6 linked regions of the Cricetulus griseus genome follow. The protein of the gene in region 3 purifies or fractionates together with the protein of the main gene of each other region. This does not show direct contact. Links are inferred from orthologs where the notes say so. Each region holds a gene or a part of one and is shown on either strand. Other genes may lie near its edges.

Region 1 (3,500 bases), on a different chromosome or scaffold from region 3:
TGGCATGGCCTTGTTTAAAATACAGTGATCTTTGTATGTAAATATAGGTCTATGTATATTTGTATTTATTAGCACAGAACAAGGACGAAGCATAATCCATTCCAACATTGAGGTAGTATTAGTAGACTGGCTACATGTTCTCTGTGAATGATAACCATTTTCTTTCTTTCTTTTTTTTTTCTTTGTAGCTTTGGAGGCTATCCTGGAACTTGTTAAGTAAACCAGGCTGGCCTTGAACTCACAGAGATCCAACTGTCTCTGCCTCCCTAGTGCTGGTATTAAAGGCATGTGTGAAAAGTAGATTTCCAGCCTGCCTAAAGCAAAAGAGTAAGCAACTATGCAGTAGGGAAAGGAAGATAACCCTTATGAAGCAAGCAGACAAACTCCAATGCAAAGGGGAGGGCTGGGGAATTATTCTGCTAGGGACATACCATCATATCAAGGATTCACACAGCTCCAGTAAACTAGTACATTACCTAAATAAGTGTGCTCGATCCATGTGAACAGGTCTTGTCTCTTGAGGATAACTATAAAACAAGAGTTTGCATTTTGCAAATTATGTGTTAGATTCAAGTAGGTGAACTTAAAGGTTTTAAAGGTGTTTTCTCTTTGAAGTCCAATAAATTTAAGCTGCCACAAGATTCCAATAAGCACTCAAATGGAGATAGACAGAAAACAACCGACATCACTCAGAACTACTCTAGGCCACCAAAGGGTCAGCATTTTTCTTCTTTTCTAACATTCCTAGAACTACTTGCCCTTCTACAGGAGAGACTTGTTTTCATTGCACATGGAGGCCTAGTACAAAAATGGCCCAATGGATCATTTAACAACAGATTTATGTAATGTAACAGACAGATACACTAAATAACTACCTGGACCGAGTGATATCCCAAATAATCCAATCATTTCCGGCCACAGCACCAACTTTGAAGGTGTTTTTCAAGCACCAGTGTGCTGACATTAACGGTGTCTGTTCTGATTGAAGAGATAAAATTGCTTGTTGGGCCATTAGATCATAAAACCGGATCATTCCATTCTTCTCTGCAACCATCAGCTGTAACACAGGGGAAGAAGGGAACTCCATGTCATCTCATTAGCTAAGTTTGAGAAAGAAGCAGAGGTTCAATGTCATAAACACACACACACACACACACACACACACACACACACACACACACACACACACACACACACCACAAACAAGTCAAATGCATAGGAAATGAGAGGTTATGAAATGGTATCAAATACAAAAACACTACAGAGGAAATTGGCAAAAAGACACAAAAAAGTTACATTAAATTTTAGGGTATCAGCTTTGTCAGTAGAAAGATCAATATTAATAGTGTAGGAAAAGCTACCTTTAACTTAGGAAAGGCCATTATGTTATACTTTGACAAGTGATTTATATTGACATTTCTATGCAATTTACATTTTTCCATTGACAAATAGAAGGCAGCATGGAACAGCCAAAGAAGACAGACAGGTCTGGATAGAAAGGTGGCTGTTTCTTACACTTAAAACTGAGTGACTGCTATGTGACTGGTAGCTCTCTTATTTTTGAAATGGAGATGCGAGGATAGCCACTATAAGATGGACTAATGCTGGGTACCACTGTGTCCTCAAGTTTACCACCTATGTCTTATCTCTATAATGTCTAAAGGAAAAGCTGACATAGATACTAAAGGAAATAAGGGCAAGCCACAGAGAAGAACCACATCATTATCTGCTAACCTTGCTCCTGCAAAGTCAGGTCCCAAGCTTACAAAGGCCTGCACAAAATATCGAAAGGAAAAGGCTAATCCTGGCAAGGATGGGAGCGACCTTCCAAAGCTTGCAGATGCTGAAACAAGAGGCTGATGATGCTGGAGATGCAAATGAAGCATGTATACTGTTGATAATTCGACTTCTGTTGGCTATAAAATTTGAAAAATATTTTAAAATCAAGTTGTAAAAAAATGCAATCTTCTCTCTTTAAAGCTATATTGCTAGCACACAGAACCCTTCACTGGGAAAGAAAGCATGTGTTACTAACAGAATGTTTCCAAAGATAGACTGAGGTAGAAGAGAGAGAACACTTCTCCCTGCTAGTTGTAAGACCTTCTCTTGAATTATAGGATGAGGGATTCCGGGATACGAATATACATATTAGTGGGAATGCTTTGTGATGATATGGGTAAACTCAATTTGACTCTTATGTCTTCTTCCCCCTGTACCATCAGTTGTCTAAGGCAGAGTCCTGTTGGGATCTGACCTCTTAAAATTGGCTTAGCCAGTCCAGGAGATCTGGGCTTTGCTGTGACTCAGTGACATGCTGTTCCACCAAAGGACACTGGATTCCTCTGTAGCATATGTACTGCTGTAAATCTACGGGTGGTCATACAATTTGAAAAGGACTCAGGTGGATCTTTAGATTGATATTTCTGCCATTTTCAACTCCTGAATGACAGGGTTGGCTTATAAAATGCTGTCACATATGATGTGACAGTTAATAACGATTGTCAACTTGACAGGGCATAGAACTGCCTGGGAGACACACCTCAGAGTGATCACCCACCCAGATTAGGCCAGTTGAAGTGGGGATATCCCTGGGTGGCATCACTCCATGGGCTGGGCCTGGATTACACTAAAGGTAATCACTAAAGGAAAGTGAGTCGAGCATTGGCACTTATCACACTCTGCTTACTGAACAAAGATGCAATGTGACCAGCAGCCTCCTGCTGTCATGACTTCCCTAAATGATGAACTTCCCTTAGCCATCAGGGAAATGCAAATCAAAACAACTCTGAGACACCATTTTACACCTTCCAGAATGGCTAAGGTCAAAAACACCAATGTCGGTTAATGCTGGAGAGGATGTGGAGAAAGGGGAACACTCCTCCATTGCTGGTGGGAGTGCAAACTTGTGCGGCCACTTTGGAAATCAATATGGTGGTTTCTCAGGAAAGTGGGAATCAGTCTACTTCAAGATCCAGCAATTCCACTCTTAGGCATGTACCCAAAGGATGCACATTCATACAACAAGTACATATGCTCAACTATGTTTATAGCAGCATTGTTTGTAATAGCCAGAACCTGGAAGCAACCTAGATGCCCCTCAACCGAAGAATGGATGGAGAAAATGTGGTACATTTACACAATGGATATTACTTAGCAGAAAAAAAAAAACAATGAAATCTTGAAATTCGCAGGCAGATGGATGGAATTGGAAGAAAGCATCCCGAGTGAGGTAATCCAGTCACAAAAAAACAAACATGATATGTACTCACTCATATTAGACATAGAGCAAAGGACTGCCAGCTTACAATCCACACCACCAGGAAAACTAGGAAACAAGGAGGACCCTAAGAGAGAAATACATGGTCCCCCAAAGAAGGGGAAAGGGACAAGAACTCCTGAGCAAATTGGGAGCATGGAGAGGGGAGGGAGGTAGGAAAAAGAGAATGGGAGAAGACAAGCGGGGAGGAGAACAAGAGGGATCAGGAAGACTGAGTCAGGGG
Region 2 (4,095 bases), on a different chromosome or scaffold from region 3:
TTGCTAGACTCATATTTCCAACAGGCAGATCCCAACAAACCTCAGGAAAAAAAGGGGGAGGGGCATGATCCTCACCAGTGTTTTTTTGTTTTTGAACAAGGCATAATTCAAGTCTGGCACCTTGAAAGCCCTTTTCTTTTGTCAGACCTTCTTCCTGGCACCACCCTCAAAAAAAAAAAAAAATTGCTTAGCTAATCCACAGAAAAACAAAGCAAAGGCCGTTTAATTCAGAGATGTACACTTTGTTCTTGAACATCTTTCTGATACTTAGATTAAAATAAAAAAAGATATATTTTAAGTAAAGCCATTTACAAAAGGCCTCTAATCCCTACCTAAATGTTAGTTCTATTAATCTATTAACTCAGTTCCATTACTGCCCACATATACTCCTTTCTATGTGAATAGAGACTCCTATCTGACTAGAACCGTCATATGGATTACAACAGAACTTCAATTAGAAGTAATGCCAGGAGTTCATTAGGCTCTTCTTGTTTTAAGTTAGAAAGAACATTGCTGTTTCACTTTACACAAACCAAAAGTAGGAGAGCGCAGAACTACTATGGACACAATAACATGGATCTGGAGCCAGCTAACAAAAATTTCCATGTTCCTCCTGAAACCTGGTTGGCAAGTGTAAAAGGCAGAAGAGGCTACCCTTCATTTCAAGATTTTCAAACACCAAAAACAATTAAAAACAAACAAACAAAAACTAAAGTACAATACACTGTACAGGGCTGATATATCAGCTATCAGCAGGTTGGGTATACATTGAGCAGCTCAGGGCAACTACCTCTCTCTGCAACTAAGTTTCTACATCCACAAAATGAGAGAATAAGTTTCTTTTTCCTAAAGTTTCTTCCAAATTTACTCTTAAGATTCTACCTAAAGATTCTTCTTTAAAGGGTCTAGTCCCTATTGCTGCCTACCAGAATCTAAATTGCCTAAATTTATACTTTTGTTTGTAGAAATTTGGAATTATTTTCTCAATAACAATAGACCAAGAGCTGTTTTATGAGCTAACACTATCACCTACAAAGAAAACCCCCAGCTCCCATGCCCAGAACTTTTCACAATATGCCTGTTTCAGGTGGAACAATCTTGTGAATTGAACATGATTCTTTTGGGGGGAGGGCAGGGGTTGAGACAGGGTTTCTCTTTATGGCCCTACCTCTCCTGGAACTAGCTCTGTAGAGCAGACTGGTCTTGAACTCACAGAGATTCACCTGCCTCTACCTCCTAAGTGCTGGAATTAAAGGTGTGCACCACCACCAGCCAGGGAACATTACTCTTTTACTTTTGTTTACTCACCAACAGAAAGATAATGAACTGCATAACATTTATCTCAGGATTATGTACACTTTTATTCTGTTCAGCCAGTTATCTGCTTTTCAAAAAAAGCACCTGTTTCAGAGAGACCTCAACTGCTTCATATTTACATACATATCTACGCATGACATTCTGTGTAACTGAGGTGTTTAAAACACATCCCCTCATCTTACTGCCACTGGCTTAACAACTGTAAACTGTAACCATAGGGGCACACCCCCAAAAACAGTAGTGAGTTCCACTCGGCCAACAATTTCTCCCATAGTGACTGCTAGTGATACACTTAATGGATAGACAAGATAAACACCTTTTCTAAGTCAAAATCTGAACCTCAACCTTTGAAATGTTGAACAGGGCATCCACAGAAAAGGAAGGGCTATACACTAAGTGAGGAAGACACACGAGGACACAATGATATTCACAAACGATTACAAAAGCAAGAGAGGATATCAAACTCTGCACAGCATCTCAGAAAAAAAATTCCAAGGGCAATTTGGAGATTCACTCAGGTAAATGCCACCAAGAGTAATGACTCAAAGAAGAACCAATTCCTGCTTTGCCTCTTATTTGCAAAACATAAGCACTGAAACCCTAGGAAAGACTTTGTGGAGAAAAAGTGCAAGGAGGTTGCGCTGTGCTGTAACTTGCAATAGGACCCGCAGGGATAGTAATCCGTGAGTCTGCTGTTTCTTACTGCCATACTCAGGATGGAAGACGCCTATAGTTAACATATTTGAAAGGAAATCTCCACCAGTGTACGACCACTTTACAAGCCACTCAAAAATGTGTGTAAGCAAAGCAGCCAGAGTTGATTCTACAGGACTTAGTGTCCATGCCGACACCCTTCTACACCTTGACAGAAAACACTCACGACCTCCCTTCCTGCTCTGCCAGCCAAGGGATTACAAATAAATGCTGGTTCAAATGAAAATGTATCCCAGCTCTGCGGATCCAACGAGAATCAAAAATCTTCAGTACCCAGCAGAAGTCATGCTCGACAATTTCCTGCACCTTCCTTCGTTTTAAAGAAGTTGCAGGTTTCTCCTGAGGCGTCACGGTCTGGCCGGGCTAACACCTTCCCTAGTGGCCGACCAGTTCCCGCGGGCCCCCGGGACAACCCACCAAGGCGACGCGGTCCGTGGCCTGTCCGGTGTCTCAGCACCAGGCGGCCCGGTACTGTGGTTCTCCCCAGACCTGGCGGCGTCTCTGGAGATGCGCTCGCCACTCCGGGCTAGGCCCGGTGCTCCTGCGCCTACCCGGCCTCCACAGCCTCGCCCGCCCACGGGCCTCCGCCGTGATCCACACGCTCAGCCCTCACCCGCGCAGCTGCAGCTGGCCTCTCAGGCGCCGGGGACTGAAACCCAGCCGGCGACAGCGACGGCAGTACGGGGAACTACCGCGTACTCAGCAGCAGCCGCAGCCATCTTGGCACATCCGGCTCCGGTCGCCGCCGCCGCCGACGTGTCCGACGGCTACGTCAGCGCGCGCCACGCCCCTGAATCGCCCCGCCTCTCGCCCTCGCCCAGTCTTTGGCGGCCTCACCCCCTTGCCCCGCCCCCAATGTCCTGCCCCCTTGGCATTGCTCCGAACTGGTTCGTCAGCGCCTCAATCTCGCCACGCCCCTTTTTGACTCGGTCCCGTCTCGTCCAGTTTTTCGCTCCTTCATCATTTTGTCCCGCTCCATGGCCCCGCCTTTTCTTTAGCGCTCCCTTTCGTCATGCCCCTCTTGACTCCGCCCCTCGTTCTTGTCCAGTCTTTCGCAGCCTCGTTCCTTCGCCCCACCCCCATAGGTCCCGCCCCCTCGCGTCAGTCCTTTATAGCTACACCCTGTGGCCCCGCCCCTCGCCCACCTGTCCGGCCCGGAGCGCGGGCCCCGCCTCCCGACGTCGCCCTGGTTACGCCGGTTCTGTCCTGCAGGCTTCCTGTTTTAGGATTTGACCAGTCAGGGTTCTTCGACTGAGACCCCCAGGGAGAAACAGTCTGGAAAGACCGAAGCCGTCAGGTCTGCTGAGTCCAAAGCCCCAGAGGGCCCTGCTGCCCTCTCCCTCCCCATTTTTCCGTTGGATACCCCTGGACGCCGAGGGGTGATTGCGCGTGCGTCACCCTGCTCGCGCGAGTGGCTTGGTTGTCACCTTCTACGGGTTGGACAAGCGCGTGCGCCGGGCCGCATCCGTTGCTTGGTTACGGCTTTCTCCTGCAGCCTGCCGGGTGCGGTTCTCCCGGCTGCTGTTTTGGCCTGGGGCTGCCGGGCGCGCTCATGCCACCCGCTGGCGTCGGCCAAAGGAGAGGAGCCGGAGCCAGATGGCTCGGTCCTCTAACCTCCCTCACGACTCCTCCCGGTGGGACGTGGCCTCAAGCCCCGGGCTGAGCGCTGGACCTCTTAGACCAGGGACATCCGCAGGTCAGGCTGCGTCTGTCGGTGCAGAGGCTCTCTGGAAAAGGTGGGTGTTGTCATCTAGGAAGTGACCAGGCCCGGCCCCTTCACCTTTATTCCAGAGGACACAAAGGTGCCGCGCCTGCGAGGCAGCCTGACCAGTGGAGGACCCAGGAGGAGGAGGGAGTGTGGTGGAGCTGGCCAGCGCTCAGCCACGCAAGCAGAGCCGCGCGAGCTCCGAAGGCCAGCTTCAGCCTGTCTGACGTGGCGCTGTGTGGGTCACTTTGTAAAGCTAACATTTGTCTTTTGAGAGCCAGGTTCCCAATCTCTTTAAACACAGGAGAACACATGGTAAACTTAGTCCTAGGTTCCTAAGGAGAAGCAGCAACCCCAGC
Region 3 (3,500 bases):
TGACAAAATCCCTTCCCTTGCTTGTCCATCCTTTGGACACTGGTTGGCTTTTCCACGGCTGAGGTCAGTCCCCAAGACCTAAAGCCAGTCCAGAAAAAGGTTTATCAAGAACAGTGAGGCTTCCCAAGATAGCCTTGAATCTCAGGCTGCCACTCCTCCTTGCTTTGTGAGGACAGTCTTAGGAAATGCTGTTAGGTGTGTTGATTTTTCCTTATTTGGCCAAATGTTAACTGGCCACTTGCAACCCCTCTGGTTTTTCTAAGAGTTTAGCAAAATTGCAGATGTATGATAAAAGCCTGCTCACTGTGCCTCCTTTCTACAGTGAACTCTGTATGCTGGGCCCCTCATGATTATGGCCTGATTTTGGCCTGTGGGAGCTCGGATGGGGCCATCTCCCTGCTGACCTATACAGGGGAAGGCCAATGGGAAGTGAAGAAGATTAACAACGCTCACACGGTGAGTCCAACCCCTACCTTTTGCATGGAGGAGAGCATAGTTGCTGTGCTTAAGTCTTCTGTGCTCCCAGGAGGAGACTGAGAATCCTTGCTGAGAAGTGGCTATAGGTTAGGTACTGCTGGAGCCTCTTTACTCTGAGGGACAGCAGCTGCACCAGCCTTCTCCGTCCAAGGCAGAGGTGGCACTGGTTTCTCCTAGTAAGCCCCCAGGTTGGGGGTAGAAGTGTGGGGGCCTTCAACTACTATAGAAGCTTGGCTACAGAAGCCTCAGGCTGACATGCATTAGGGGTTCCCAGAACTCAGTGGTGTTTTAAAGACTGGCCTAGAGATCAAGTTCCCTGTGCTTTCTAGCACTTGGACCTTAAGATTGAAATAGTCTAGAAAGCATTGTGGAAAGTGGAAACTCACATTTCTTGAGCCCCTAACTGGATGTCTCATAATTCTCAAACACAGTTGTACATGAAAGAACAAACTAGCAAATACTAATTTTTCAGGGTTTGCCTAGGGAGGGGTGGAGTTGGTGTGTCAAACCTTCATTCATTTTTCCTGTCTGATAATGGGCATGTTCAGTTTTTATTAGTAAATGTTGCTATGAATGTTATGGGTATGTTTTTGTATCTCTGTTTCAAATTCCCTTGGGTATATATCTTTCTGTAAATAGCTGGGTCATCTGGCAATTTCATGTTTACCTTTTTGCTTTTCAATTAGTATATAATCATTGTGCAAAATTACAATTTGGGACATTTTCATACATGCATATCATATAGTTAGATCACATTCACCTGTTACCCTCTCATCTCCCAACAGTCCACGAGTCCTCTTCCCAAATAGTACCTCGTCTATTATCATGTCTTGGTTTTCTTTTTGGTTAGTTTTTTTGCTTGTTTTTTTTTTTTTTTTTTTTTGAGATAGGGTTTCTCTGTGTAGCTCTGGCTATCCTGGAACTCTCTGTAGACTAGGCTGTTCTTGAACTCACTGCCTCTGCCTCCTGAGTGCTGGGATTAAAGGCGTGTGCCACCACCACCTGGCTTGTTTATGTCTATTCCATATGTGATAGTTGTCCTTCTGAGTGAGGTTTATTTCACTTAACATGATGACCTTTAGTTCCATTCATTTTCTGCAAATGAAATAATTTCATTCTTCCGTGGCAGAATGAAGCTCCCTCCATTGTGTATCGAGGCCCCGTTTTCCTTGGTCATTTTCTCTGGTGGTGTACAGAGGGCTGGCTCCAGTTTTTAGCTGCTGTCAATAATGCAGCAATAAACATGGATGGTTGAGTTATTCCTGTGCTGTGCTGACTCAGAGTCCTCTAGATAGACAGATAGATAGATAGGTAGGTAGGTAGGTAGGTAGGTAGGTAGGTAGGTAGGTATGTATACAAGTCACAGAGCAGAACCCTGTTGGAGTTCTTTTCTGTAGTGGCTGTACTAATTTACATACACCCCCACCACCTTCACTGTGTAAGCGTTCTTTCTCCCACCTCATCCATCCTGGAATTTGCTGCTGTTTTCTTGATGGCTGCTTTGCCTAGGGAGGGGTGGAGTTGGTGTGCTTTTGTTTATATTTCTTGAGTAACTAGACAAACATTGTTTCATGTATTGCATTTTTACTGATCCTTTTGAGAACTGCTCAGTTTATCTGCCATTTATTGATTGAATTATTTAGATCTTTCACAAGTGCCCTTATCCACCAAGCCATCCTCCAGCCCTTGTACAGCTTTAAATATTGTCACTGTTTTATAGCCTTGACATTTTACCTAGTCATAGAAAGTTTCTTCTGTGGCCATTCCTATTTGTGGTTTAAATGCATCTTACACTTGAGCCCATTGCTTTTTTTTGGGGGGGGGGGGAATTAGTAAAGTTTTTTGCTGTGATTACATTGGGTAGTGTTTCACTGCTTTTAGTTTTGATCTTAACTCCTCCTACCCCATAAATTCTTAATCTTTTAATCATGTCCTGGAATTGATTGAATTTGGGGTTACACTTGATTGATTTCTGTTTGAGCCGCTGAAGTGAGTTACATCCAGAATTTTGTTGGTCCTTGTTGCAAATCAGTCTGTTTCTTTGTTTCTGTAGTGTAATGTATGCATGTGTACGTGTTCATATGCATGTGAAGACACGAGGTCAATGTGTGATGTCTTCCTCTATCACCGCCCGTCTACCTTATTTTTTGAGACGGTCTCACTGAAACTAAAACTCATTGATTTGACTAGACAGTGCCAGGGATCCTCCTGTCCCTACCCCCTAATACTACAAGTGTGCAAGCACACATCATCATGCCTGTTTTGTTGTTATTGTTTCCTTTTGGTTTTTCAAGACAGGGATTTTCTGGGTGGCCCTGGCTGTCCTAGAACTCACTCTGTAAACCAGGCTGGCCTCGAACTCAGAGATCCGCCTGCCTCTGCCTCCTGAATGCTGGGATTAAAGGTATGCGCCACCACCACCTGGCCCATTCCTGTTTTTTAATTCAGTTTTCCTTCATTGCAGCAAGCACTTTACTTACTGAACCACCTTCCCAGCCCTAGTCTGTATCTTAACTAGTGAATTGAGATAATTTACATTGGGAAACTGAGGTAGGAAGGAGGGAAGCTCTGCCACCAAACAAAAGAAAATTAAATATATAAGCCAATGATCAGGGTTACCATGAAAAGTCATTATTTGGTCATCTAGTTGTTTTGACTCCTCTTTGATGGTGTCTTCTCTAGCTCATATTTATATTAGTTTTTTTGTTTTGGTTTTTTTGTTTGTTTGCTATTTCTCATTTTCATGTGTACTTTTCTAGTGGGATTTATTCTCCCATGGGCAATCCATGGGTAATCTTTCTTTCCTCTCTGGTACAGGACCTCCCCACCACCACCACCACCATCATTCACAAGGCTAGTCTTGTAGCCAAGTTCCCTTGGATTATGCTCTTAGCTGAAGCTCTTCATTTCTACTTTGAGACTGTACTATAGTCCTTTATTTTCTTTGAGGACTTAACACTGCCCTCCTGGCCTGTAGGGTTTTTGCTGAGAAATCTATTGGTCTAATAGTTTGCCTTTAAGGT
Region 4 (4,129 bases), on a different chromosome or scaffold from region 3:
GGAAAGGTAGTATGCACGCTTGTTTTCTGAGCACAGTCCTGCTCCTCTGTGAGACCTCAATAACGAGACAGGTCTGATTTCTAGAACATGCCCACTCCTCTGCTCTTAGCTAGATCCCAGGAGGAAACAGACACCAAAAGGATGAAAACGCAACTTTGACCAACACCAGGGGAGGGAGGAGTCTAAGAATAGAAAAATAAGATACAAAGTAACAAGTCCTGATAAGAGGACCGCCCAGGCATCACCCCAACTTGTTGAGGTTAGCAAATGCGTCCTGGAGAAGGCAGTACATTTGCACCCAATCCATCCAGAACAGCACAGGTTCTGAAGCTGCAGCTGAAGCAGAACCCTCATTGGGATCAAGCCTTATAATAGACCATTGCTCAGATCTACCTTAGAGATTCAGAGGAAAGGATGTGAGAAGACTTGCTTGGACCGGCAAGAACAACAGTGGGGACTGAGGGTCTCTGAAGGGCTGCTGATAAGCCACATGGATTGATAGGTATCCCAAAAGGGTTTTCAAGCTCCGAAAGTGCCAGCTGGGTGGCCTGAGAGCCTGCCCATCATTACCCGCAGACTTGAACTAAAGAAGGGTAGAACAGTTACCATGTCATCCTTGGGCCTTCCCTCTGATTGGCCGGAGCTTCCGTAGCCCGAGTCTCCGCGCTCCAAGGAAAGGGGCGGGGTCTCGGCACAACGTCACCGCTTTTTGGTGCTCACTATTCTAGCCACTCCCCAGCCCTCTTCGAGGGGCCGTGTGTGACGTCGCGAGTCTCTATCAGCCAACCGTCGCGGCAAAAGGGGTGGGACTCCAGGTCCCTCCCCACCATCCCTCTTTTTTTTTTTTTTTCTCCCCACCCAATTCCTCACGCCCCTCCTCTTCCCCTCTACTCCTTCTCAGAGACCGCCTTCACGTTCGGTTTCAAAAGGCTCGTCGCCCAATGAGTAACACGGTAGGCCTCGAGTGGCGGAACGGCCTGCCAATGCCCGGCTGGCGAGGGCGGAACGCCCGGGGCTGGCCTCTGACGGCGGACGGCGTGTGACGCAGTCGGGCCTCTGCGCGCTGCGCCCGAAGCGGCGGTCGGTGGCGGCGGCGGCCTCGGCGGCGGCGACGGTTTCCTGGTGGCCGCGCGCTGCTCTGTGAGCGGCGGGTGGCAGACGGACCTGGGCCCTCACCCCAGACGCACCGCGGTAAGTCGGGAGTGCTGCTGGGGCCGGGCGGGCGGGTCCTCTTCTTTGGACCGGCATCTGCGCGGGACGCCCCGGGCCCTCAGCCTCCCAGTCTCGTGCGGGGCGCGCTCCTTCGGGCCTGCGTGAGGGGGCGGGGCCCGCGGCCCTGCGGCTTGGCTCGGGAGGCCCTGGGAGGGAGTCCACACGCGTGGGGCGTAGGCCAGGGGGCCTCGGGTGGCAGCCCACGCTGAGGGAACCTCGTTGTCTCCGGTGCTACTCATTCATTCGCTGGGTAGAGGTGAGCAGCCCGCGGTAGGCTGGCCCTTGCGGGGATGGTGCCTTGGGGACTCAGTGAGGTCCCCCCCCCCATCACTTCTTTGACCACTCTACAGTACGCGTCTTGTCTAGGGTTAACCAGAGGGTTGAGTGAGTCGGAAGTGCGTTAGCTTTTTAAGACATTGTCTGGCGATTGGAGGGGTCTGGTCAACCGAATGAAAGGTTCTTTTCTGTTCTGCCGCATGTTCGTGTAAACCGAGGTGAGAAAGATTGGATTCTTGAATTACTGTAGCCATAGCGTTTAAGACATTCTATGTCAATGCCCCCATTCTGCATCACGTGCAGAGGTTTTGTAAGGTGGGAGAGGACTCAGTAATGGCAGATGTCTTGACTCAAGCCTAGAATTTTTATACTATTCCACCCTCCCTGTATGTTCCAGTCTCTCATTATTGGCTGTTCTGTATTTGGTAGGGGGAAGGAAACGGACATTTGACATAGTGTTCAAAACATTTCCATTTAGGTGCTACCATTTTTGCTTATATAGTAAGATAATAGAACTTTATTAGTATTACCTCGATGTAAACTTTTGGGGAGCTCGGGGAGACAAGATCTCATTCAAATCCTGGTTGATCTGGAATTCACTATGTAGGTTTGCCACGAAACCAAAGAAACCACTTGCCTCTACCTCCTCGGTGCTGGGATTAAAGGTCTTTGCCATTACAACCAGCCCTAACCTAGACTTTTGAGAACTAAACTTTAAAAATAGTTCAAGAGGCAGGCTTAGTGATGCACGCCTTTCATCCCAATACTTGAGAGGCAAAGGCAGGCGGCTCTCTCTGAGTTCAAGGCTAGCCTACTCTACATACTGAGTTCCAGGACAGCCAGAGCTGCACATAGAGACACTGCCCAAAAAAACCCAGGCGTTGGGGGTGAGTAAACCCAATATAGGGGCTGCTGGAGAGACCCCTCAGCAGTTATGAACACTGACTGCTCTTCCAGAGGAGCTGTGTCAATTCCCAGCACCCACATGGCAGCTGTCTGTGACTCCCAAGTTCTGACACCCTCACATAGACATAGATGAAGGCAAAACATCAATTCATATAAAACAAAAATAATTTTTTTTTTTTTTTTTTTTGGTTTTTCGAGACACGGTTTCTCTGTATAGCTTTGGAGCCTATCCTGGCACGCTCTGGAGACCAGGCTGGCCTCAAATTCACAGAGATCTGCCTGCCTCTGCCTCCCAAGTGCTGGAATTAAAGGTGTGCGCCACCAACGCCCAGCTTAAATTATTTTTAAAAAGTCAATATAGATGTGGTGTTGCAAGCCTGTAGTGTCACCAGTAATGGAAGTTGAGGGTGGAGAACTAGAGCCCAGGAGTTTGAAGCCAGCCTGGACAACATAGAAGATCCATCTCATTTAAGAATTGTGGAGGGCAGCCAGGCGTTGGTGGCTCACGCCTTTAATCCCAGCACTCGGGAGGCTAGAGGCAGGCAGATCTCTGTGAGTTCAAGGCCAAGCCTGGTCTACAAAGCTACACAGAGAAACCCCACCTCGAAAAACAAAACAACAACAAAAAGGATTTCACGAAATTAGTTGTCAGTTTGATTTGAACATACTTATCAGCTTGTAGATTTGATGTTTATATAAACAGTAAAACCTAAAAGCAAGTAATTCAAGAGAACAGAGGAGTTCTGTGGTATAAATATTAAAAGTTGTGACCTGGTGTTTTTTTGTACTATTTTATCTGTTTGGACATCACAACCTGGGAAACTTTTCCTGGTATGCTTTCCTATGTAAGCTTTCACACACTTCCTTACTGATACTTCTGCTTGTAGCACACATTTTATATTTCAAGTGTTTGTCTTTTTATTAGGTTATGATAAAATTTATATTTTTTGGTCTTTCTGAATGTCCTTAAACCCAGCACTTCATGCTGGACGGTAGTGGCGCACGCCTTTAATACCAGCACTCGGGAGGCAGAGGCAGGCTGTCTCTGTGAGTTCGAGACCAGCCTGCTCTACAAGAGCGAGCTCCAGGACAGCCTCCAAAGCCACAGAGAAACCCTGTCTCAAAAACAAACAAACAAATAAAACCCCATCACTTCAGAGGCAGAGGTATGTGGCTCTCTGGCTTTTTGTTCAGTCTGGTTTGTAAAGCAAGTTCCAGGCCAGTCAGGACTACAATATGAGACTCTGCCTCAAACATAAAATAACATGTATATTAATTTGTATTTAGGTTACATGGCTCATCGGCCTCAGTTATATTTTTGTGAATGAATAAATACAGAAAAATTAAACTGAAAAATATTCCAGAAAAAAGGCTAGATATTTGTGTACTTCTGAAATACTTTTTTTTTTTCTTTCTTTCTTTTTTTTTTGTAGCCACTAGCTCCTAGGTATCTAAGAATAACTAAACTTTTACAGCACGCACCAAATTCACAGATTAGGAAAGTAAGTTATTTATTGTCATATTACTGTGTACTAGCAGTCTAGGACATAGAGTATTGTAATATTGATTAATTTCTAGTAAGAGACTTTGTAAAATTCTGAGATTATTATAATCTGTAAATCAATGAGTATGGTGGCATGTGCTTTTAATCTCAGCACTGGGGAGGCAGAGGCAGGTGGATCTCTGAGTTTGAGGCAAGCCTGATTTACAAAATGAGTTCCAGGACAGCCAGAGT
Region 5 (3,986 bases), on a different chromosome or scaffold from region 3:
AACATGCTAGTTTAGATCTTGAATATGTTAAAGATTTAGTCTTCAGGACACTATCAAGATGTGGTAGGACCTCTTAGGGGTGAGTCACAGACCAAAGGCAAGAATAGATCAGTTCAGGACCAGAGCCAGGCTGGAAGGATGGCACAATGATTAAGAACACCTGCTGTTCTTTCAGAAGATCCAGGTTTGATCCCCAGCACCCACAAGGCAGCTCACAACCACCCATTACTCCAGTTCCAGGGATCCAGACAATCTCTTCCTGGTTTCCAAGGGCACCATGTATACATGTGGTGCACATAAATACATGCAGGCAAAACACTCATACACATAAACTTCCCTTTTTAAACAAAAAAAAAAAAAATGTTTTTAATGTTCTATTTATAAAGCATTTTTGAGCTTTATCATTTCAAATTATCTTCATTTTCTTTCTCCAATTTATTTGACTTCTTTCAAGTAGCTCCCTGCAGTTTTCTTTATTGTTATTATTATTATTATTGTTGTTATTGTTATTATTGGTTTTTCGAGACAGTTTCTCTGTGTAGCTTTGGAGGTTGTCCTGGAACTCGCTCGGTAGACCAGGCTGGCCTCAAACTCCGAGTGCTGGGATTAAAGGAGTTTTCTTTATTTTAATTGTTACCCTGACTAATGACAGAAGAAATGCCACCTAAAAGTTTCTCACCTTGACTCCTTTTATTGAAATTCAGCCTTTACTCTTGGGACTGTCATCTTTGGTACATGTAAATTGTGGTGTTGTTTTGACTCAGCTGACTGATTTTACCCACAATAGAGGAAAGAAAAAAAAATGCTATGAATGAATCTAGGCTTTTCTATTCTTAGAGTAAAAGTTGTAAAAAAATCTATTGATCCTTGCCGAGGGATAGGAAACATAGCAGGAAATAGTTTAAAGCAGTATACAAGAAAACACCGAGATGGGGGGCTGGAGAGATCGCTCAGTAATTAAGAGCATTAGCTGCTCTTGCAGTCGACCCAGCTTCAATTTCCAGCACCCACAGGGCAGCTCACAACTGTCTTGTAACTACAATTCCAGGGGTCTGACACTCTCACACAGACATGCAAGCAAAACCAATGCACATAAAATAAGAATACAACTAAAGAAATGATAATACATACTGTGGTGGTTTGAGTAAAAATGGCCCCCATAGATTCATATATTTGAATGCTTAGGGAGTGGTATTAGGAGGTGTGGCTTTGTTGAAGGAAGTGTGTCACTGAGGTTTCAAAAGCTCAAGCCAGGCCCAGTGGCTTATTCTTTTTTCTTGCTGCCTGCTGACACAGATATAGATCTCTCAGCTACCTTTCTAGCACCATGTCTGCCTGTGTGCCATCATGATGACAATGGACTAAACCTCTGAACCTGTAAGCAAGCCCCAGTTAAACGCTTTCCTTTATAAGAGTTGATATTGAGCCCTCTTCACACCAATAGAAACCCTAATAAGACACATATTTTGCTTAAACAAGGCCAGACCTAAGCTAAGAAGTGAGAAGGTTCCTCCAAGGTGTAGGAGTCTACCTTCCCATCACCTTACCAACCAGCAACCATACTTGCCTCCAAAACCAAGATTCCTTCAGTTAAAACACTGACCTTAGCTTTCCCACGTGCTTTCTTCATGCATTCACCCTTTTTCTTTCAGTCCTTCTTTGATATTCAGATTCTTTGTTCCCTGGATTCCCCTCTAATCCAGTTCTCCTCCCTGGTATCTACTGGATCCTTCTTTGCCTAGCTACATCCACGTCTAGCTAACTTTTTTTTGATCATTTGGATCTAACTGTGGCTTTCTATACCCTCCTTGGCCAACAGCATCTGATTGTCCCATTAGCTTCTCATTGTCCATACATTTTATATGCTTATATTATTAGTTTAGTGTCTTTTTTGTATGCGAAACTGACCCAACAAAAGTGGCATCTACTATATTTCTATCCTTACATAACTACAATGTCTTGCACCATTTCCCAGTACTCAGCACCATGTATGACATGTACAAACTCAATCTCATCAGCAGAATGGAGCTTCAAAGACTATATTGACATTGTAACTTAGTGTCTAAAATGGGCCTTCAATGTTGTTATGTCAACTACATTCCTTTGTTTTTATACTGCTAGGAGAACACCTCTCCTAGAACCGATTCTGACGTGAACTAACAGTCGTTCTTTAGTCCTATGTGTAGATTATTGCCAGAAGTAATAATGTAGAACAGGCATGAATATTCATATACCAAACAACCCTACCTTCCAGGGGGATGGGGAAACGCAGCACTCACCAATGAATGAACCTGTTTCTGGTGACGGAGAACAACTTGCCACTTTCCACATAATAGAAGCCTCCCGCGCTCTCACTGTATTTCACCGCTCCAAACACAGCGTTTGCAGTCCCTGCAAAATGAATGTGGTCAGCTTGCACACGTGGTTCTCTGGGGATGACAGGCACTGAAGAGTGCTGAGGAAGCAGAGTGCAAGCGGCTGACAATGTATACAATAGGATGCGGGGAAAGGAGAAAGAAGTCAGGCTGTGATGCACAGGCTTTGGGCATGTGGACTTGGCTCAACCAGGGAGGAGGCCAAAGTCGCACTCGAGGGGCCCGAAGGGAAGCGATAGCCCCCATCCCCCCAAGCCCTTTCCGTACCAATGCCACAGGCTGTGAATTCCCGAAAGTGCCTGGGCCTTTCGCGTTCAGCTCCGCTCAGCTCCACGAAGCTCCGTTCCAGGGATCCCGCCGCCGCCATCTTCCCGCCGTCGCCGCTAGGCCCGACGGGACAAGGGCGGGTCGCGTTGTTGTCGTCACTTCCGGGAGCGTAGAGCCCGGTTTGAGTTATTGCGCTGTCTTTGTGACTGTCGCTGGCTGAGGGCTGCGGCTCTGACGGTCAGCCGCGGGTTTTCACGACGAGAATGAGTCTGAGGAGGGAGGAAGACGCCTCGACCTGCGGTCACCACAGACGGCGGCGGCGACAGCGGCGGCGCCCTTTCCCGGCGGCCTCGAGCAGGGGCGGGGCTGTATGTGTTTCCCTTTTGAAAAGCTGGCGCGGGCGGGCGGCCCTAGGAGGCCAGTGTCCTTAGCCAGAGCCACTTGCGGTCACCTCCCCTCGGTTCATTGTCGGCGAGTAAGTTGTCACCCTGTCTCTTCATCGTTTAGCGAAACGGAGTAAAAGTGCATGGAAGACAGACCTTTTGTGTTGGCATTTTTGCGAGACTTTTTTTTTTTGGTTTGGTGTTTGGAGACAGGGTTTCTCTGTGTAGCTTTGGAGCCTATCCTAGCACTTCCTCTGGAGACCAGGCTGGCCTCGAACTCACAGATATCCGCCTGCCTCTGCCTCCCGAGTGCTGGGATTAAAGGCGTGCGCCACCAACGCCCAGCTTTGGGAGACTTTTTTACACATCCTCGTATACAAGCATGTTTTGGGATAGCAACTCCCCTTTTAGCCCCGGTTGGCCTCCAGCTCTGATCCTCTTGTCTCAGCCTCCCAAGTGCTAGGATTACAGGCACGTGCCACAATGACCAACAGGGGTCGAACATGTTGAATTAAGCATTATGCTGCAACCTCCTGAGATTACCAAAGTGCCAGTCAATTTGCAAACGTGCAAAAGAATTGCTATTTATTCTTCCCTGGGACCTCTCAGCACTCTGTATGTTGAGGCAGATGGATTGCTCATTCAAAGCCACCTGGGGCTACAAAGTGAGACTTTGTCTGTGAAAAAAAATGAGTAAATAGATAAAACTGGCCACGACTTCGATCCACATTTACAGCTGAACATTTTCCTTGGCAACTCCATCAGAACCGTAAAAGTGGGCAGTTCGATAATTCTACCCCAGCAATCATATTTTCCTTGACGATTTACTACCTTAATGAGTATTTTGAGATTGTAACTGCCCACACTTTTCTCACCCTTGCTCTGTTTATCTTGAAAGTCAAAGCCATCGGGTTGGGTGGGCATATTGGTACTCTACAGCAGCTTTTGGAAGCAAGGAGAT
Region 6 (3,500 bases), on a different chromosome or scaffold from region 3:
CTGTGCCTGTCTGGTTTCTCAGAACCTCAGGCCATTCAGACCCTGCCCCTTGATTGACGATTCACCCAAGCAGCTTGTGCCTTTCTTGCTAGATCCTTGCTTGACAAAAGCCACTGGGTCTTGCTCTGCTCCACTCACTGGGAATAAGCCGACCAAAAATGCTCTTCCCGGCACTTTGTAATCACTGCGTGCTTGAACCTCACCCTCCTGCTCCACCTTCAATAGACCCGCTCTTCCACCTGCCGCAAAGCTGCTTTTTCATTCACTGATGGCTCTGCCTTCCATTCAATACCAACCATTGGTCTCTGGTGGGGTTATCCACTTCTGACCATTGCCCTGCACGTGAGGCTTCCTTTCTGGAGCATGGTCCTTTCCTCCCCTCTGGCTTTTCTCGAAGTCCTGGTAGCTGGGGACTGTGTGTCTCTTGAGCTCAGAGCCCTTGGTCCCCACATTTCAGTGACGCCTCACTGGGAGGCCTGTGCCTGTCTCAAAATCAACCCTGTCTGAATTCCTGGGATGCTAGGAATTGCAGACCCTTGGGTCTTACTTCTCTGCCTCACTCATGGGAGCTGTGTCATCGTCTATACCTCCTTGCTCCCACTGGAATGTTTTTTGGAGAGTCACTGACCATTATTTATTATATATACAATGTTCTGCCTGCATGTATCCCTGCAGGCCAGAAGAGAGTGTCAGATCTCATTACAGATGGTTGTGAGCCACCATGTGGGTCCTGGGAATTGAACTCAGGACCTCTGGAAGTGCAGCCAGTGCTCTTAACCTCTGAACCATCTCTCCAGCTCCCACTGACCATTCTTAATCAGCCATTGTGGCAGCACTACCAGCTGTTGGCCATAGAACTGGAGGCACAAGATTATCAAACATGACCAGGTGATGGTGTGGTGATGGGAAAGGCACCTGATGGTCCCTTTCCAAAGGGCCCTGCCTACATCCATCCTTCTCTCTTTCTTTCTCTCCCCTCCCCCTCATCCCCCTCTTTCCCCTTCCCCCTCTGTCACACTTTCTTCTCTCCTGCTGCTCCTGTCCCTGGAGCCAGTCTCCCCCCTCCTCTTTCCCCTTTTTATGATCCCTTTCCCTAATAAAAACCCTCTGCTTGAACCCTGTAGCGTGGCGTCTTTCTCTCCCACACTGCTTTTCTTAAGTTAAAACAAGATGGTCCTGCCTTGCAGAGACAGAGGACTGACTTGTAAGCTCCTTGCTTTTTCCTTCCCAGTTGCAGGAGATTAAACCCCTCTGCAGTCAGGTTTTCTGCTTTAACATCAGTGTCTGTACTTTGAGTAAAGTGGAACTTGCTGCAGATGAAGCCGGGGTCTTTGTGTGTGACATGAGTCTCTCCCCTCAGCTGGTCCTCTCCTCCTCCATCTTCTTGACTGGGTCCGACTGCACGTGTGTGAGGTAGACAGTTTATCGGCAGATGTTCTGGGCAGTGAGAACCCAAGCAAACATGAGAGCTTCTGGAACTTGGTGAGTATAACGTGGGCAGCCCCCTCCTTCCTTCTGCCTTGCATTCTGCATCCTGGTGCTGTCAGGTGGCTATAGAATGACGACTGCTCCAGGCCTTGGCTCGGCTCTTTTGAGTTTCTGATCCTAGCAGCGGTTTTACATCTTTCTTTGTCTGCTGCAGAGTAGTTTCAAACTAATTTAGCATGAAGGGTAACACTTGCTGTTGGAAAGGAAGTTTGATTTGTTTATAGAGCTGAGGAAGAGAAGGTAAGATGGTCAAAGTGGTTGATGGGGACTAAGGTGGGGATGGAGTGCAGATGAGCACAGTGGCTGTTCTGAGGTAGACTGCTTAGGGCCGTAATGTAAATAGCAGATACTTACATTAGGATTTATAACTGTAGCTCGGGGTGGTGGTGGCAGCGCACGCCTTTAATCCCGGCACTCGAGAGGCAGGGGCAGGCAGATCTCTGTGAGTTCAAGACCAGTCTGGTCTACAAGAGCTAGTTCCAGGACAGCCTCCAAAGCCACAGAGAAACCCTGCCTCAAAAACAAACAAACAAACAAACAAGGATTCATAACAGTAGCAAAATACAGTTATGAAGTAGCAATGAAGTAATTTTATGGCTGGGGTTCCAGCATTAGTAAGATTGAGAACCACCGATCAGGGGCTTGTGGCATCCTAGAATACCTGCCGGCATCTTCGAGATCACAATCTCTAGCATCACCAAAAGAAAAAGAATATCCTTGGTTGTTTTATTTTTGGTTGTTGTTGCTGTTGGTTTTTTGTTGTTTTTTGTTTTCCTTTGAGACAGGGTTTCTTTGCTGTGTGTGTTTGTCTGTCCTGGAACTCTCTGTAGACCAGGCTGGCCTTGACACCTTGACTCACAGAGATCCCTACCTCCTGAGTACTGGGATTAAAGGCTGTGACACCACTGCCTGTCTGCTTTGGGTTTTGAGACAAGGTCTCCTTATGTAGCCCTACTGGTCTGGAATTTTTGTTGTTGTTGTTTTTGACAGGTTTGGGTGGCGTGGTTGCCTATGTTCCCAGTGATGTGGTGCTGGGGATGGCCACCAGCCTAACTCTTAAGTTCAGTGAGAGATCCTGTCTCTAGGGACTAAGTCATAAGTGCTGATCACCTGATAGTCCTCTGGCCTCCTCATGGTACACAACTGTACACACACACACACACACACACACACACACACACACACACACACACACACACACACACACGGGTGTTAAAACATTTAAAGTTGGTTGCCAGCTATCTTTAAACTGACAGTTTGCTAAAGGAGTCATATCTTAGGGTTGTTATTCTTGTGATGAAATACAATGGCCAAAAGCAACTTGGGGAGGTAAGGGCTTAATTTACATAGCCCAGAGTAATAGTGCATTGAGAGAAGCCAAGGCAGGAACTTAGACTGAGTAAGATCCTGGAGACAGGAGCTGAGGCAGAGGCCATAGAGGGGTGCTGCTTGCTGGCTTGCTCCTTATGGCTTGCTCTGCCTGCTGTCATACAGAACTCAGGACCACCATCCCAGGGATGGCCCCACCTACCATGGGCTGGGCCCTCCCAAATAAATGACTAATTGAGAAAATGCTTTCCACCTACCTACAGCCTGATGCTATGGAGGCATTTTCTTGGTTGAGGTTCTAGCCTCTCTGATGACTGTAGCCCATGTCAAGCTACTTTAAAATCAGCCAGCACAGGGTATGACTGGGAGTCACTGCTGGAAGGGAGGAGTTCTTGCTGACTCGGGTCAAGGGCAGCCTGGAGGCATCAGCACTTTGGAGTAGCGAGCCTTCTGCTGGGGGCTCTTGGCTCCCATCTCTTTGCAGGTGACTGTCTTGGTGCTTCAGGGCCGGTTGGATGAGGCACGACAAATGCTGTCCAAAGAAGCTGATGCCAACCCCTCCTGTGCAAGCATGTGCCGCATCCTTGGGGACCTGATGAGGACAATGCCCATTCTCAGTGTATGTGGGAGCCTCCTTGCCTGCCCGGCCTTGGGAGATAGGGATCAGGGAACGTGTAGGTCTG

The links.
Region 1: the proteins of Sec13 (region 3) and Nup37 purify together in Homo sapiens (affinity purification with mass spectrometry; 5 studies listed by BioGRID and IntAct, counting the BioPlex papers as one, with this or other methods). This does not show direct contact. The link is inferred for Cricetulus griseus from reciprocal best matches to the Homo sapiens genes SEC13 and NUP37.
Region 2: the proteins of Sec13 (region 3) and Sec16a purify together in Homo sapiens (co-immunoprecipitation; 4 studies listed by BioGRID and IntAct, counting the BioPlex papers as one, with this or other methods). This does not show direct contact. The link is inferred for Cricetulus griseus from reciprocal best matches to the Homo sapiens genes SEC13 and SEC16A.
Region 4: the proteins of Sec13 (region 3) and Nup98 purify together in Homo sapiens (affinity purification with mass spectrometry; 4 studies listed by BioGRID and IntAct, counting the BioPlex papers as one, with this or other methods). This does not show direct contact. The link is inferred for Cricetulus griseus from reciprocal best matches to the Homo sapiens genes SEC13 and NUP98.
Region 5: the proteins of Sec13 (region 3) and Nup160 purify together in Homo sapiens (affinity purification with mass spectrometry; 4 studies listed by BioGRID and IntAct, counting the BioPlex papers as one, with this or other methods). This does not show direct contact. The link is inferred for Cricetulus griseus from reciprocal best matches to the Homo sapiens genes SEC13 and NUP160.
Region 6: the proteins of Sec13 (region 3) and Nup85 purify together in Homo sapiens (affinity purification with mass spectrometry; 5 studies listed by BioGRID and IntAct, counting the BioPlex papers as one, with this or other methods). This does not show direct contact. The link is inferred for Cricetulus griseus from reciprocal best matches to the Homo sapiens genes SEC13 and NUP85.

The regions. Positions count from the first base shown.
Region 1 is NW_023276806.1:154,185,360-154,188,859, reverse strand, and holds part of Nup37 (nucleoporin Nup37), read right to left. Parts: intron 1,058-3,500; coding exon 876-1,057; intron 528-875; coding exon 477-527; intron 1-476. UniProt on the Homo sapiens protein: Component of the Nup107-160 subcomplex of the nuclear pore complex (NPC). The Nup107-160 subcomplex is required for the assembly of a functional NPC.
Region 2 is NC_048599.1:137,833,481-137,837,575, forward strand, and holds the start of Sec16a (protein transport protein Sec16A), read right to left. Parts: upstream 2,801-4,095; 5' UTR 2,645-2,800; intron 187-2,644; exon of another isoform or gene 76-186; intron 1-75. UniProt on the Homo sapiens protein: Acts as a molecular scaffold that plays a key role in the organization of the endoplasmic reticulum exit sites (ERES), also known as transitional endoplasmic reticulum (tER).
Region 3 is NC_048601.1:31,064,201-31,067,700, forward strand, and holds part of Sec13 (protein SEC13 homolog), read left to right. Parts: intron 1-322; coding exon 323-456; intron 457-3,500. UniProt on the Homo sapiens protein: Functions as a component of the nuclear pore complex (NPC) and the COPII coat. At the endoplasmic reticulum, SEC13 is involved in the biogenesis of COPII-coated vesicles.
Region 4 is NC_048596.1:97,176,051-97,180,179, forward strand, and holds the start of Nup98 (nuclear pore complex protein Nup98-Nup96), read left to right. Parts: upstream 1-1,329; 5' UTR 1,330-1,468; intron 1,469-1,559; exon of another isoform or gene 1,560-1,706; intron 1,707-4,129. UniProt on the Homo sapiens protein: Plays a role in the nuclear pore complex (NPC) assembly and/or maintenance. NUP98 and NUP96 are involved in the bidirectional transport across the NPC. May anchor NUP153 and TPR to the NPC.
Region 5 is NC_048599.1:86,090,450-86,094,435, forward strand, and holds the start of Nup160 (nuclear pore complex protein Nup160), read right to left. Parts: upstream 2,801-3,986; 5' UTR 2,743-2,800; coding exon 2,643-2,742; intron 2,392-2,642; coding exon 2,280-2,391; intron 1-2,279. UniProt on the Homo sapiens protein: Functions as a component of the nuclear pore complex (NPC). Involved in poly(A)+ RNA transport.
Region 6 is NC_048600.1:128,167,608-128,171,107, forward strand, and holds part of Nup85 (nuclear pore complex protein Nup85), read left to right. Parts: intron 1-1,360; coding exon 1,361-1,482; intron 1,483-3,301; coding exon 3,302-3,436; intron 3,437-3,500. UniProt on the Homo sapiens protein: Essential component of the nuclear pore complex (NPC) that seems to be required for NPC assembly and maintenance. As part of the NPC Nup107-160 subcomplex plays a role in RNA export and in tethering NUP96/Nup98 and NUP153 to the nucleus.